3 linked regions of the Drosophila melanogaster genome follow. The protein of the gene in region 1 interacts with the protein of each later gene in a pairwise test. Each region holds a gene or a part of one and is shown in the gene's direction. Other genes may lie near its edges.

Region 1 (3,757 bases):
AACATTCAACCAGAATTCGAATCCGAGTCAGATACGATTACGAATCCTTGCAGATAATATTTATGTAACCAGGCGATAGAATAGAAATCCTAGAAAGCAACTAGCATATTTTAAGGTAGGAGTAGATCGTTGTGATAGGAATATTTTGTATTGTATTTTAGTGGAGTGTAGATTAGATCCGTAAAAAGTCGATTAAGTGTTTGAAGTCTGCTGCATACGTTTCGCTTTATTTCGACTTTATGCAATCTCGGTTTCGAAGTTTAACGATTGACTGAGAATCAGTTGGCGAAAGAAAAGAGAAACGAATAGCGAATTACAATGTTTTAATAATCCGAACATTTAACCATTGTCAATGGAAATTGTGCTGTGAAACAATTTGTGAGTATAGAAAACAAAAATTAACGAAAACGTTGAATTAGAAAGAAAGTGAAAATACGCTGAATGTAATTCTTATGCAAATACATCATTTAGAGAATCTTTGTGGACAAAATAGCGATGGGTTCGAATGAAGAATAGGTCTGGAATAGTTTTATGAAAAATCCTAAATTCCCTGTTTTAATGGTAGCGAGAAAATCAAGTGTCTAGCCTAGATTTTAAAACCGAATGATGTACTTTAAATGCGATAATGCCTTAAAAATATCAATTAAATATACACGCGGATAATATCAGTATCTCAACTGAAATGGGAATTCAATCGATCCATCCGGTTGTTTTCCTACGCACTGCCCGAGTGCAAGACCCCCAGTAGTCCTAAGTGATGCAATCTAGGTTAATTAGTAGCAACTATTTCTATGTTTACACCAACCAGCCACATACAGTAGGAAAGGAGGCAGAGAGGAGCTCCTCGAGCACTAAATAGATACATCCATATAAGAAATATATGTATACAATTGTACGTTAATAAGTACCTACGCGTAGCTAATAATTCGTATCGGGATATGTGTTTGTACAACATAACTTATACATTATTGAAGAGCGATTTTAAAACGGACTACAGAAAGTGAGTCTTAGGTGCAAAAGATCATATATATATATATCATATATATGTTTACTCAAAAAGTGTGTTTTAAGGAATACATATTTTTACTTAGAGAAATATTGCAAATAAACTAATAAGGACATGTATGAAATGAAAACAATGAGACTCCTAAAATGAAAAACAAAATAAACCAAAACTGCATTAAACAAGTCAATTTGTTTTTTCTTAAAAGACATTATTTTTAACGAATTTTTTAGTTATTTGAAATTTTGGCACAGTGGCGCCCCTACAAGATGGTACTCGAATTAGGGAACTACATAAATGGTGTGACCATGATGTTTGCAAGTATCTTATATCCAAGACACAAACCTAACGTACTTTAAATATAGATAACATTTTTATTAAAAATTTTTTTATAAATTTGGTTCACCATATAATATTTAAATTAACATTGTTATTTAAGCAACAAGACGAGCAAGAAATAATTAATTTTTAACGAGCCTATCTTTTGATTAGCATTTCTGATGATTAATACAAAAAACTTTTTCCATCAATTTGGGTTCCACATAGGTAAAAAAAATAATAGTGTTAATTAAATTGTTAAGACTTAAAATTTGATCGATTCTATATGTTCGTAAGCAATCGAATAACTTAACAAAGTAACTCTGCCAGCGATATCCACGCAATTCAACTCGCTGATAGCTTATCTTTACTGTTTTCAGCAACAAAAGATTTTTCAGTAGCTGAGTAATTTTTACCACTACGAATTGAAGTAATACAAATCGAACAAATGGAGAAACGTGCTACATCTACCATGCAGGTTCTCTATGCAGAACTGGCTGCCGGTGCGTATGAGCAATGTCGTTGCGTATACGCCATGTATTGAAACTCCTTTGCAGCAAAGTCCAGAAGTGCGGAGCTGGAGGAGGAAAACATTTTGCTGCGCCATCGACTAAATCGCGCATCTGCCAGCCACAGCACCAATGCGGCCATAAATGTGGAGGCCAAGATCATGGTCTTCCAATTGGAGGAGGAACGAGATCGTCTGGTGGAAACACTGCAGAAGCACAAGAAGAAGTACAACAAACTGCATGACGCTTATCTGGAGAAAGTGAAACGTTGTCGTGCTTTGGAGGAGATGTTTAAACGGCAGAAGACGCTTACAGGCTTGGTAATGAAGTCCTCTTTAGATCAAAGAAATGCAGGTGTGTTAGGAAATGGAATTTTTGCTTAAAATTAGATCAATACTCTAAAAATCTACTAGAGCAACGAATGGCTATGGAGAAAAGGCAGTCGGCCCAAAGCGATGTCAACGAATTGAACGAGCTGAAGGCCAAAGTAGAAAAACTTCAAAGAGCCCTTGATGAGTCATACGACATTATTGACGAAATGGATTTTGAACTTGAGAGCGTAAGACGCTTTAGAACGTATTAGCAAGCTTAAGTAAAAATGATTCGTTTAAAGGTGGAATTACTGGAAATGCAAAACCAATCCTTGCGGGACGAATTAGCCGCTTTTAAGGCAAAATCAGAAGAAGGAGCGACCAGTCTGCCGGCCTCGCTACCCAACGATGACGACCCACCGCCCAAATATGAGGAAGACTATCCCGGACAGCATCATAAAGCTATGCAGGCCCGGCGCTGCTCCTCTAGCAGTGAATCTGACCCCAAGGATGATGATGCCGACGCAGAAACTATGGAAAGAGCTGCTTTAACCCATAGCGTAAGCTTTAATCCTAATTCTCATTAATTATATATGTCTGATTGTTCCTTGTATTCAGCTCATACAAACTGTGGAAACAGAGAGCAATGCCCTAAGACGGGAATTGTTGAGATCCCGCTGTCAAAGAACAATTCGCGCCAAGTTGGAGAAAGAAAGCGAGCCTGTTGATTAGGATAAGTGGCGGGATTAATCTTATCACATAGCTCCCAGCCAAAAACTAAACAACCAACCAATAGATCATAATAACAAGTAGCCATACTAAAGCTGATGAAACTGATCACTAAGTTTACGCACAGAGAGCAATAACTAGACGGCTGGACTAACCCAGATTCCGAACCAACTACGCCTAACCAGTGCACATACCAGAATTTGCTTTTAAGGTTCGACAAACACGCTCGGCGGCTGCGTTAAATCAAAACTTTTGCGATATAGTAACCCGGTTTCTTGGACTGCGCGCAGAGAAACCCCTCGTCTAATGGCGATTAATTAAATTATTTGCTAATGCCATCAAACGAGTTGCGGACAGATCACCTGCCAAAAGGATCTGGCCTCCGAGCTGTGAAGGTTCCAGCCCCCGACTTCTGCCCTCCCATCCCATTTCCAATTCGACGTGGTGCGCTATCCATTAAAACATGACAATTATTTTTATGACTTAATGCAGTCGGAGGCCTTGTTGCCCAATGCCTAATGTTGCAAATTATTGACAAAGTAAATTAATCTCCACATTTGTTGGTTGGACCAGACAAACTAGCGCGACACCTCTAAGATCACCATCAAGCTCTCCCACTTGCGGCATATTCATTTGGATGCTTATCGAATGTGCGTCGCAAAAGAAAAATCAAATGCGTCATGGGTAAAAAAACTACAAGATTTTATAAATTTAAGTTTTAATAAAAATATTTTTTAAATTTCTTTATTTTGGATTCGGTGGATTTAGAAATTTCTTAAAAATATTAAGTGAGTTTTACGTCGTTTTCATTAGAAAAGAAGAATTAGGAGAATGGAATGGTTACTATTTCGTTCGACATGAAGCCTAACTTGGTTCCTAATTTTTTG
Region 2 (3,757 bases), on another chromosome or scaffold:
AACGTACGCAGTCAGGTGCCATGGTACTGGCATGGCCAGGGATAATGGAAAGTTTGCCTATATGGTCAGTAGTCCGGGACAACCGGTGCGCACGGAATCGGTTGAGTGCTCAGCGAATCCTGAGAAATCTCCTTCCGAAGACGATAGACAAGTTATTTGGTAATGTTTACTAATTTTGTTAGACTATAAATCTTATAATTGTTATGCACTTAGCCATTTTAAAATGTATCTGAAACCAGGAGTAGAAGAATTACGATTAGCTCCTGCATAAAAGAAAATGTGCCTCAGATTAGACCTATCGGTAGATTAAAAGGCTGAATAAAAGCATGTTCATTTTTTGCAAATGGCACGCAAACATTATCTATCATATCATATCTGAATATAGAAAATAATAAAAGTTATTATGCTTGTATTTGTTGATAACTCAGTTCGGTTTCTTTAAAAGGCTCCTGCAGTCATGTAGAATGAACCATAGTTTATCAAGCCGGGAAACCAAACATCGCTGCTCAGTCCAACATGATTCTTAGTCAAAATGATGGCATAACCGTACGAGTTATGAAGGAGGACGACTATCCAAGAGTGAAAACCTTCATGACGGACTACTTTCACTACGACGAGCCCATGGGAATGGGTCTCGAGGAGCCCATTCACCTGCAGCATGAGGAGGAAGTGGATAGGCAATACCTGGCGGTGATCAGGCAGGGACTATCCATAGTGGCACTCGACGATAACAACGGGGGACTACTGGTTGGCATTGCCGTGGCGGAGACGATGGATCCCATCGAAATGGCCAAGCAGCACAAGGAAGCCGAGGAAATGGAGCCAAATGCTTTGGGTCGCAGCAGGAAATTTATAGCCAAAGTGGAGCGCGAAGCCAACATTTTCGAACGCTTCGGAGTCTCCTCCTACCTGAGTCTGCTGGTCATCTCCGTTCACCCCTCAATGAGGCAAAGAGGTATCTTGGTCATACTTTCCAAATGTCTCTTTAAATTGGGTCGCCTGCGGGGACTCCGTCTGTTCATCGGCAGTGGCACCAATCACTACTCCTCCCGATCGGCGATGAAAGCGGGATGTGAGTGCATCCATTCGGTGGCCTATGCTGACTACAAGGACGAACAGGGCCGACCGATATATAATCCACCAGCGCCCCATACCCACATTCGGGTCTTGGCCTCAAAACTTTAATAAATTAGTACGAATTCGCAAAACTAAGTAACAAATAGGGGTGTTTTCTTATATCGCAAGAACCTTTGGACTTGACAATTGATAGAGACCGCCCAGGTGAAAATTCATGTCCAGATGGAGCTAATAAAGTAATAAAATTTAAGGGCTCTACTTTATTGTGCACAGATTGTGTTGATTATGAATTTATCAAGTACGAAGTAAGCACTTTTCACTGCTATGTAAACCACTTGATGATTGCAAACGGCATAAGCCTCTTGTGGGCTCACAATTGTACTTTTTCTTTAAAGTCGTCAAATTTATGTTTCTCGTTTCGAAAGTGCGTTGTATTTTATTTCTGTAGTGTATTGTTTTGTGGTACATATAGAAATTTTGTTTGATTTGTGTTTCCCTTAAATGATATGCTCACTAATGTGATCAATTTTAGAAAGTACATATGTATTATATTCGCTAAGTTATATGTATTAAATAAAGCAATTAGAAAATGTCGAATCCAAAATTGAATTATCTTAATTTAAAACTAACTGAAATAACCGGTTGGTGCTGCCAGACCTTTAAAGTGTCCGGTGGTATATTTTCTCAATGACAACAACGGTCACACTGCATTCTGCTCTTCAAAAAATATTTACTAGATAAAACACTTGGAATTCGGCGGATTTGAGTGTAGTTTTTCGACTCACGCATCTAATGCGGCACAGTAATGACATAAGGATCAAGTGCAATATATTGAGTGTGCCATTTGTTATCCAGTAGCGCCCCTATTACAGCAGGATGCAGGATGCCACGGCTCCGGATCCGGAACCCAGCAGCACCAACGGCAATTGCTCCGTTGAACATGACAATCGGCAGGATCAGGATGAGAACCACGTAGGCGCCGAGCGGGAAGCGGAGGCCAACGATGCCAACTGCACCGTTTGTGGTGCCGCCAAGGCATCGGCGCTTTTGGATCTGCGCTCCAACCATGTAATGCAACGTCGCCTAAGTCGCGACTGGAAGATTCATGTGGGTACTCAAGACATCATCCAATTCCGACATCCATGCCAACTCTTTGAATTCGAATTCTTTAATTATCAGGCAGATGTAATCCGATCCACATTGAAGGCCATTTGCGTGGAGTGCGTGTGCAAGCTGAACATGCACTCGGAGGTCACTCGATCCCTGATGCAGCGCATGCAACGGCTGCAGCGTTCCGGTGGTGAAACCACCAAGGTGACAACCACCACGACATCGCCCAGCCAGCACAGTCCACCCATTGCTGATGCAGAGGTGTCGACCACCTTGATTGAGAGTCAGGAGGAGGTGGCCCACAGCGGGCAGAGCGTTCGCTCGCGTTCTTCCTGCTCCGTGCTGGAAGTATACCTCGCTCAACAACCATATTCTCCATCGGCCAAGGAAACGGAAGAGAAGCATGCGGAGGGCTGGAAATGGCGAACACGGCTGGAGTGTCACGAATGTGGTCGGGCCTATTTTCGACGGGATTACTACGCCCAGCACTTGAGGCGCTGCTCCAAAACGCGCAGGAAGCAGCCACGTCCATCGCGCGTCAAATGCCGGGTACTAAATGAGGCGAGCTATGATGAAGAGGCGCCATCCAGAGCCATCCGATCATCGCGCATATACTACTGCCGGCATTGCGACGCAGAGTTTGAGACCTTAATCAGTAAGCGACAGCATGAGCGAATGAAGCATCAGCAGCGATATCCGTGTGATTTGTGCGAAGCCCAGTTGGACACGAAGTACGAGTGGGAAATGCATCACACCATCTGCCAGGCCAAGCAGGAGGTTAGTATGCATGTATCCCCCAAAAATGATATACTTATATGTTCCGTTTTTTCTGTACAGGCCTTAGCAATTGTGGAGCAGCAGGAAGCTGGCCAAACCGTTATGACTTCCCGGGTGCCAAGGGCATGCTCGATGCGCTCTCGCTCACGGGCATGCTCCGAAGCCTGGGATAGGTACGACATGGATGAGGAGGAAGAGGACGAAGAAGATGAAGAGATAGAAAGCGGTGGGGAGGAACTAGAAGAGGGCGAGGAGGATGCCATGTACGCGCGACGTATGAACTTTACTGGCGACTGGATTGTTAACCACAGCCGCAGCAATAGCAACAGCGCTGGTAATCTCTCCCTTTTGTACGGAGACTACGGAATGGTGGAAACGCACATGACCACCGACAAGGAGTATGGTAAATATCCTTTGAAATATGTTATCGTTCTGTATCAAAAAGTCTTGCTATCCGTTTTCAGATCTTTACCTACTGGACCTGCTCAAGACGCAGGTGCGACTGAAATCATTCACTTGTTTCACGCCTGACTGTGGCTACCAGACGGACACCCTAGTGGCTCTAATGAAGCACGACTACATGGAGCACTGGAAGATGAGCTGGTTTTACTGTCATAAGTGCGGCGATGTGTTCACCAGCAAGTAAGTGGGGCAGCGATCTTTTTAAAGAAAGTAGTTTATTGGTTTATTTGTGTTCCTTGCAGGGTCTTTTTAGACTACCATATGCATCTCCAGAACCGCGGCCTCTACATCTGCCATAAGTGCCGCGAAGAGTTTGAGTTGCAGCACCAGT
Region 3 (3,757 bases), on another chromosome or scaffold:
TTAAGGAGGGAGTGGGATTAACTTCCATTCCGGGGATTCCCCCATTGGCACCTTTCTCTACTCATGGCTCTTTGTACATTTTTGCACTGTAAAAATAAAATATTAAAAATATAAATATATAAATTGCTTGCTAAAAAAGTTTAAACAAAAACGAATGGAAAACGCGCAAAGTTTAACATAAAATATATACATACACGAAGCGACGTTATTTATATATACGCCTACAGAAACATGCAAAAAACTATTATATACAAAAAAATATATACATACATATATAAATATATATATATATACAATACTTATTTACATTGCGTATTTTAGCGTTTTATTCGACATCGGAAAAAATAAAATTAAACCAAAAACCAATCGTAGAAACGCTACAAAAGTGTTCTTTTTAACGAAAACAAAAAATAAATAAAAATAAATACAGAGAGCGGAAAATAGAATATTAAATTAAGCAACAGAAAATATTTATACACTGAGATGCCGCGGCGAGTTGAAAGTTTGAATATAAAAAAAAAAAACAGATTGGAGAGCGACAAATTTTTAATTGAATTTCTAATTTTACAAAAGCATACATGTTTTATTTACCAATCGCTGTAAATATCAAGCAACACACTATTCTGGTGGGCTTTTTTTTTTTTAATTTTAAACTGTCTCCACTATTCGGCCACAGCCCCCAGCCACGCCCCCTGAAACCAATACCACTACAATGCAAAGCTTTAATTCATTGCCACACACAACACAATTCATAGGGACACAACACATACACACCCAGCAAAGCAAATGTGCTTTAAAAATAAAAAATATGTTTCTCTTAAGTAAACTTAAAAACTTTTTACAAACAGACGAAACACAAAGACACAGAAAACAAGAACTCTGCCAAAATCAAGCTAATACAGACGAACAAAAGTAAAAACTAAATGAAACCCGAAATCTTCTCTAAAAAATAGCAACAAATTGTAAACAAGAATATAACACGGAAATAACTAATTATACATAAATGATTAAATAACGACTCGATGAGCAGAAAGAATAACAAAAATGGAAATTAAAAAGCTTATTTTATATATTCAAACATACAACAATAAAAAAAAAACCGAAATGACCATTAATGAACTAAATTATAAACGAACCGAGATATAGTGTATATGAATGATTTTTAACAATGTAAAAATTTTGAACCAGTCTCTTTCGAATTTTATTCGTTTTCAAATGGTCCGAAAAGCAAGAAGCTGAGTTAGTGAGGGAGAGAGATAGAGTGAAGAGAGGGCTAGAGCAGCGCATTATTATTAACTAATTTAATATGCAATATATCTACTATATTTAAAGAAAACCAAAATAATACAGATACATGAACGAGGAAAATTAAAATATACACCGCAAGGGAGGACATAAAATGAACACATTTTAAAACAATGAAAACAAAACGAAAAAAATTACAAAAAAAACACTCAAATAAAAAAGAAAAAAACAGGACAAAAAGGAAAAAAACATAAAAAAGGTTTGTTTTTCTCGTAACGAATTTAAATTCGGTTTAGATGGGGCGACAACTCTGTTCAGGACTATTCCCTGATTGGCACAACTATGTTATCGATTTTTGCACACAATCTAGTATATTTTTTGAATTTGCAAAGGGATTGCTTTGTTTAAATGTTACAACCAGTTTGACTTGTAATATTTGTAATAACTTCCATAAGTAATCGCTTGTTTTGTCAAATAACACTTAGAAAAAGAGAAGTTTAAAAGGTAAAGCTTAAAATTAAACAATCTCTAGACCTAGAAATTAGTAAGCTTTGCTTGCTAGGGTTCGTATTTGCAGACCGCCAATCGATTGTTTACGTATTTGCGCACACTCTGGCCACATTGCCCCACACTGTTGCACTAGTCAATCGATTGGCTGTGCCAAATAACGCCTCCTGCTATCGATATCAATCAAGAAAAAATAAAATTTATTAAATAGATTTGTACATAGGAAATCGGGTGACGCGAAGCGAATAACATCTGGTCTAGCCAAAAATGCCAACCAAGTTGGTGGGCTAAAAGAGTGAATCCGAAATCGAGGACTAGGAGCAGCAGAAGGAGTAGGAGCTGACCACCAGTGGAGGAGCGACCGTGCGAACGAGCGAGCAAACGGAGCGGAGCAGAGCAGTAAAAGCAGTGCAGCCGTTGATTTCATCGGAGATGAACGAGAAAATCGTGCGGGAGCAGCGCGGCGGCGAAGATTCCCCATCCTCCGTCTCGGCGAAAAGTGCAACGGCAGCGGCGTCAGCGTCGACAGCGTCGATGACGTTTGCCTCGGCGGCCTTGGAATCGCACAAGACGACCACCATCACGACCGCCAGCAGCAGCCCTCGCACCAGTGGAGCAAGTGCATCCGCCTCGTCATCCTCTCGATCCGCATCTGCACCTGCATCGTCGTCCAGCCAGCAGGAAAAGCAACCGATGCTGAATGCCACCGATATGCGCGAACTGCGCGAAATCAAGCAGTTGCTGTGGGGCGACAATGTGCGCGAAGATGTATTCAAGCGTTGGTCTCAAGGTAACCACCCATCTCCTCATCTTCCCATACCCCATGCACATAGTATGCACCACCACCCATTGTGGGGCAAAAAGCGCGCCCTTTTTGCGCTCGGCAAGGCTGCGTCCAGTTGGAATGGGCGCTTTTATCTTCAACTTGGCCCAGGTCATGTTCATTCATATTTACTCTTGTTTTTCCAACTACAATCAGTTGCCTTTTCGCTAAGAATAGAAACTTATCCCAGATCATGTTTAAAGCATTGCTGTCAAGAAGCAAACATGAAGATTGTAAATACTCCGCGTCTGTATTTCCATTTTCATATCTCAATTCTTATAATTGGGCATTAATTGATTACTTCTTTTAGTGGCACGAGTAGTTGTAGTATTTAATGACTAACTGAGATTATAGACAAAGTTAATTAGTTAACCTGTCATCAAATTTTGAGATAAATAAGTCCCATTTCAATGCTCTGTGAGTATTGAGTATTATCATTCAAGTACCATTCCTTGTTATCAAAGCTTTTTTTTTGCTGCTATTCCCAGTTATTAGATATGAATATAAGATTTGGTAGCTTTATGAAGGCTGGTAAGGAAGGCTGTCCTCTTGTACTCCTTCTCCACTTTTCACATTGCAGTACCCATCTTCTAATTTTACTTACACTTATTTCTCCACCAGGATTCGAGTTTAGTAAAGTGGAACCGTCTGCATTGGTGCAGAAGCAGGGCGGTCCTTGTGCTGTGATAGCGCCGGTGCAGGCGTACTTGCTTAAGATTATTATCATGGACTTGCCAGGCATCAAGCTCTCGGAGGTTGGTCAACTTCTACCACTTGAGTACCGTACCGCGCTAATCTCCACATTTATTCAGATTTCCCTCGACAAATCGCAGAACCTGCTGATCCAGGCATTGTGTGACATCCTGAAGAATTGTCGGGCGCCGCGGTACCGCATCGTCCATCTCTTGCGCCGACGAGGAAACGCTACAGAGGCTGGATCAACCAAAAAGCGCTCACCGGCTGGCGAGGAAGAATCTGCTTTAGCTGGCCAAGCGGCAGGATCTTCCGAAGAGGTGGAGGAGGCGGCAGAAGCCACTCCCGCCTCGGTCAGCAAGTTGTCCCAGGCCCTGCAGCTCGAACACGATATGCACCAGGAACTGTCGCCGGATGAGTTCCACGAGCGCCTGCACACGCTCCACTTTAAGAATATCGCAGCCGTGGCCCGCTACTATATGGAGAATT

What was found.
Region 2: the proteins of CG17855 (region 1) and CG11906 interact in a two-hybrid assay, tested with the Drosophila melanogaster proteins (one large-scale study listed by BioGRID).
Region 3: the proteins of CG17855 (region 1) and CG7332 interact in a two-hybrid assay, tested with the Drosophila melanogaster proteins (one large-scale study listed by BioGRID).

Annotation. Positions count from the first base shown.
Region 1 is NT_033779.5:9,538,875-9,542,631, forward strand, and holds CG17855 (uncharacterized protein), read left to right. Parts: upstream 1-1,648; 5' UTR 1,649-1,769; coding exon 1,770-1,824; intron 1,825-1,878; coding exon 1,879-2,184; intron 2,185-2,243; coding exon 2,244-2,389; intron 2,390-2,443; coding exon 2,444-2,701; intron 2,702-2,759; coding exon 2,760-2,873; 3' UTR 2,874-3,606; downstream 3,607-3,757.
Region 2 is NT_033778.4:19,281,979-19,285,735, reverse strand, and holds the start of CG11906 (uncharacterized protein), read left to right. Parts: upstream 1-1,774; 5' UTR 1,775-1,953; coding exon 1,954-2,184; intron 2,185-2,256; coding exon 2,257-2,964; intron 2,965-3,024; coding exon 3,025-3,367; intron 3,368-3,428; coding exon 3,429-3,606; intron 3,607-3,668; coding exon 3,669-3,757. Other genes in the region: CG10474 (uncharacterized protein), read left to right, coding at 1-163; AANATL5 (arylalkylamine N-acetyltransferase-like 5), read left to right, coding at 517-1,185.
Region 3 is NC_004354.4:18,882,633-18,886,389, forward strand, and holds the start of CG7332 (uncharacterized protein), read left to right. Parts: upstream 1-1,880; 5' UTR 1,881-2,184; coding exon 2,185-2,542; intron 2,543-3,196; coding exon 3,197-3,330; intron 3,331-3,387; coding exon 3,388-3,757. UniProt on the Drosophila melanogaster protein: Hydrolase that can remove 'Lys-48'-linked conjugated ubiquitin from proteins.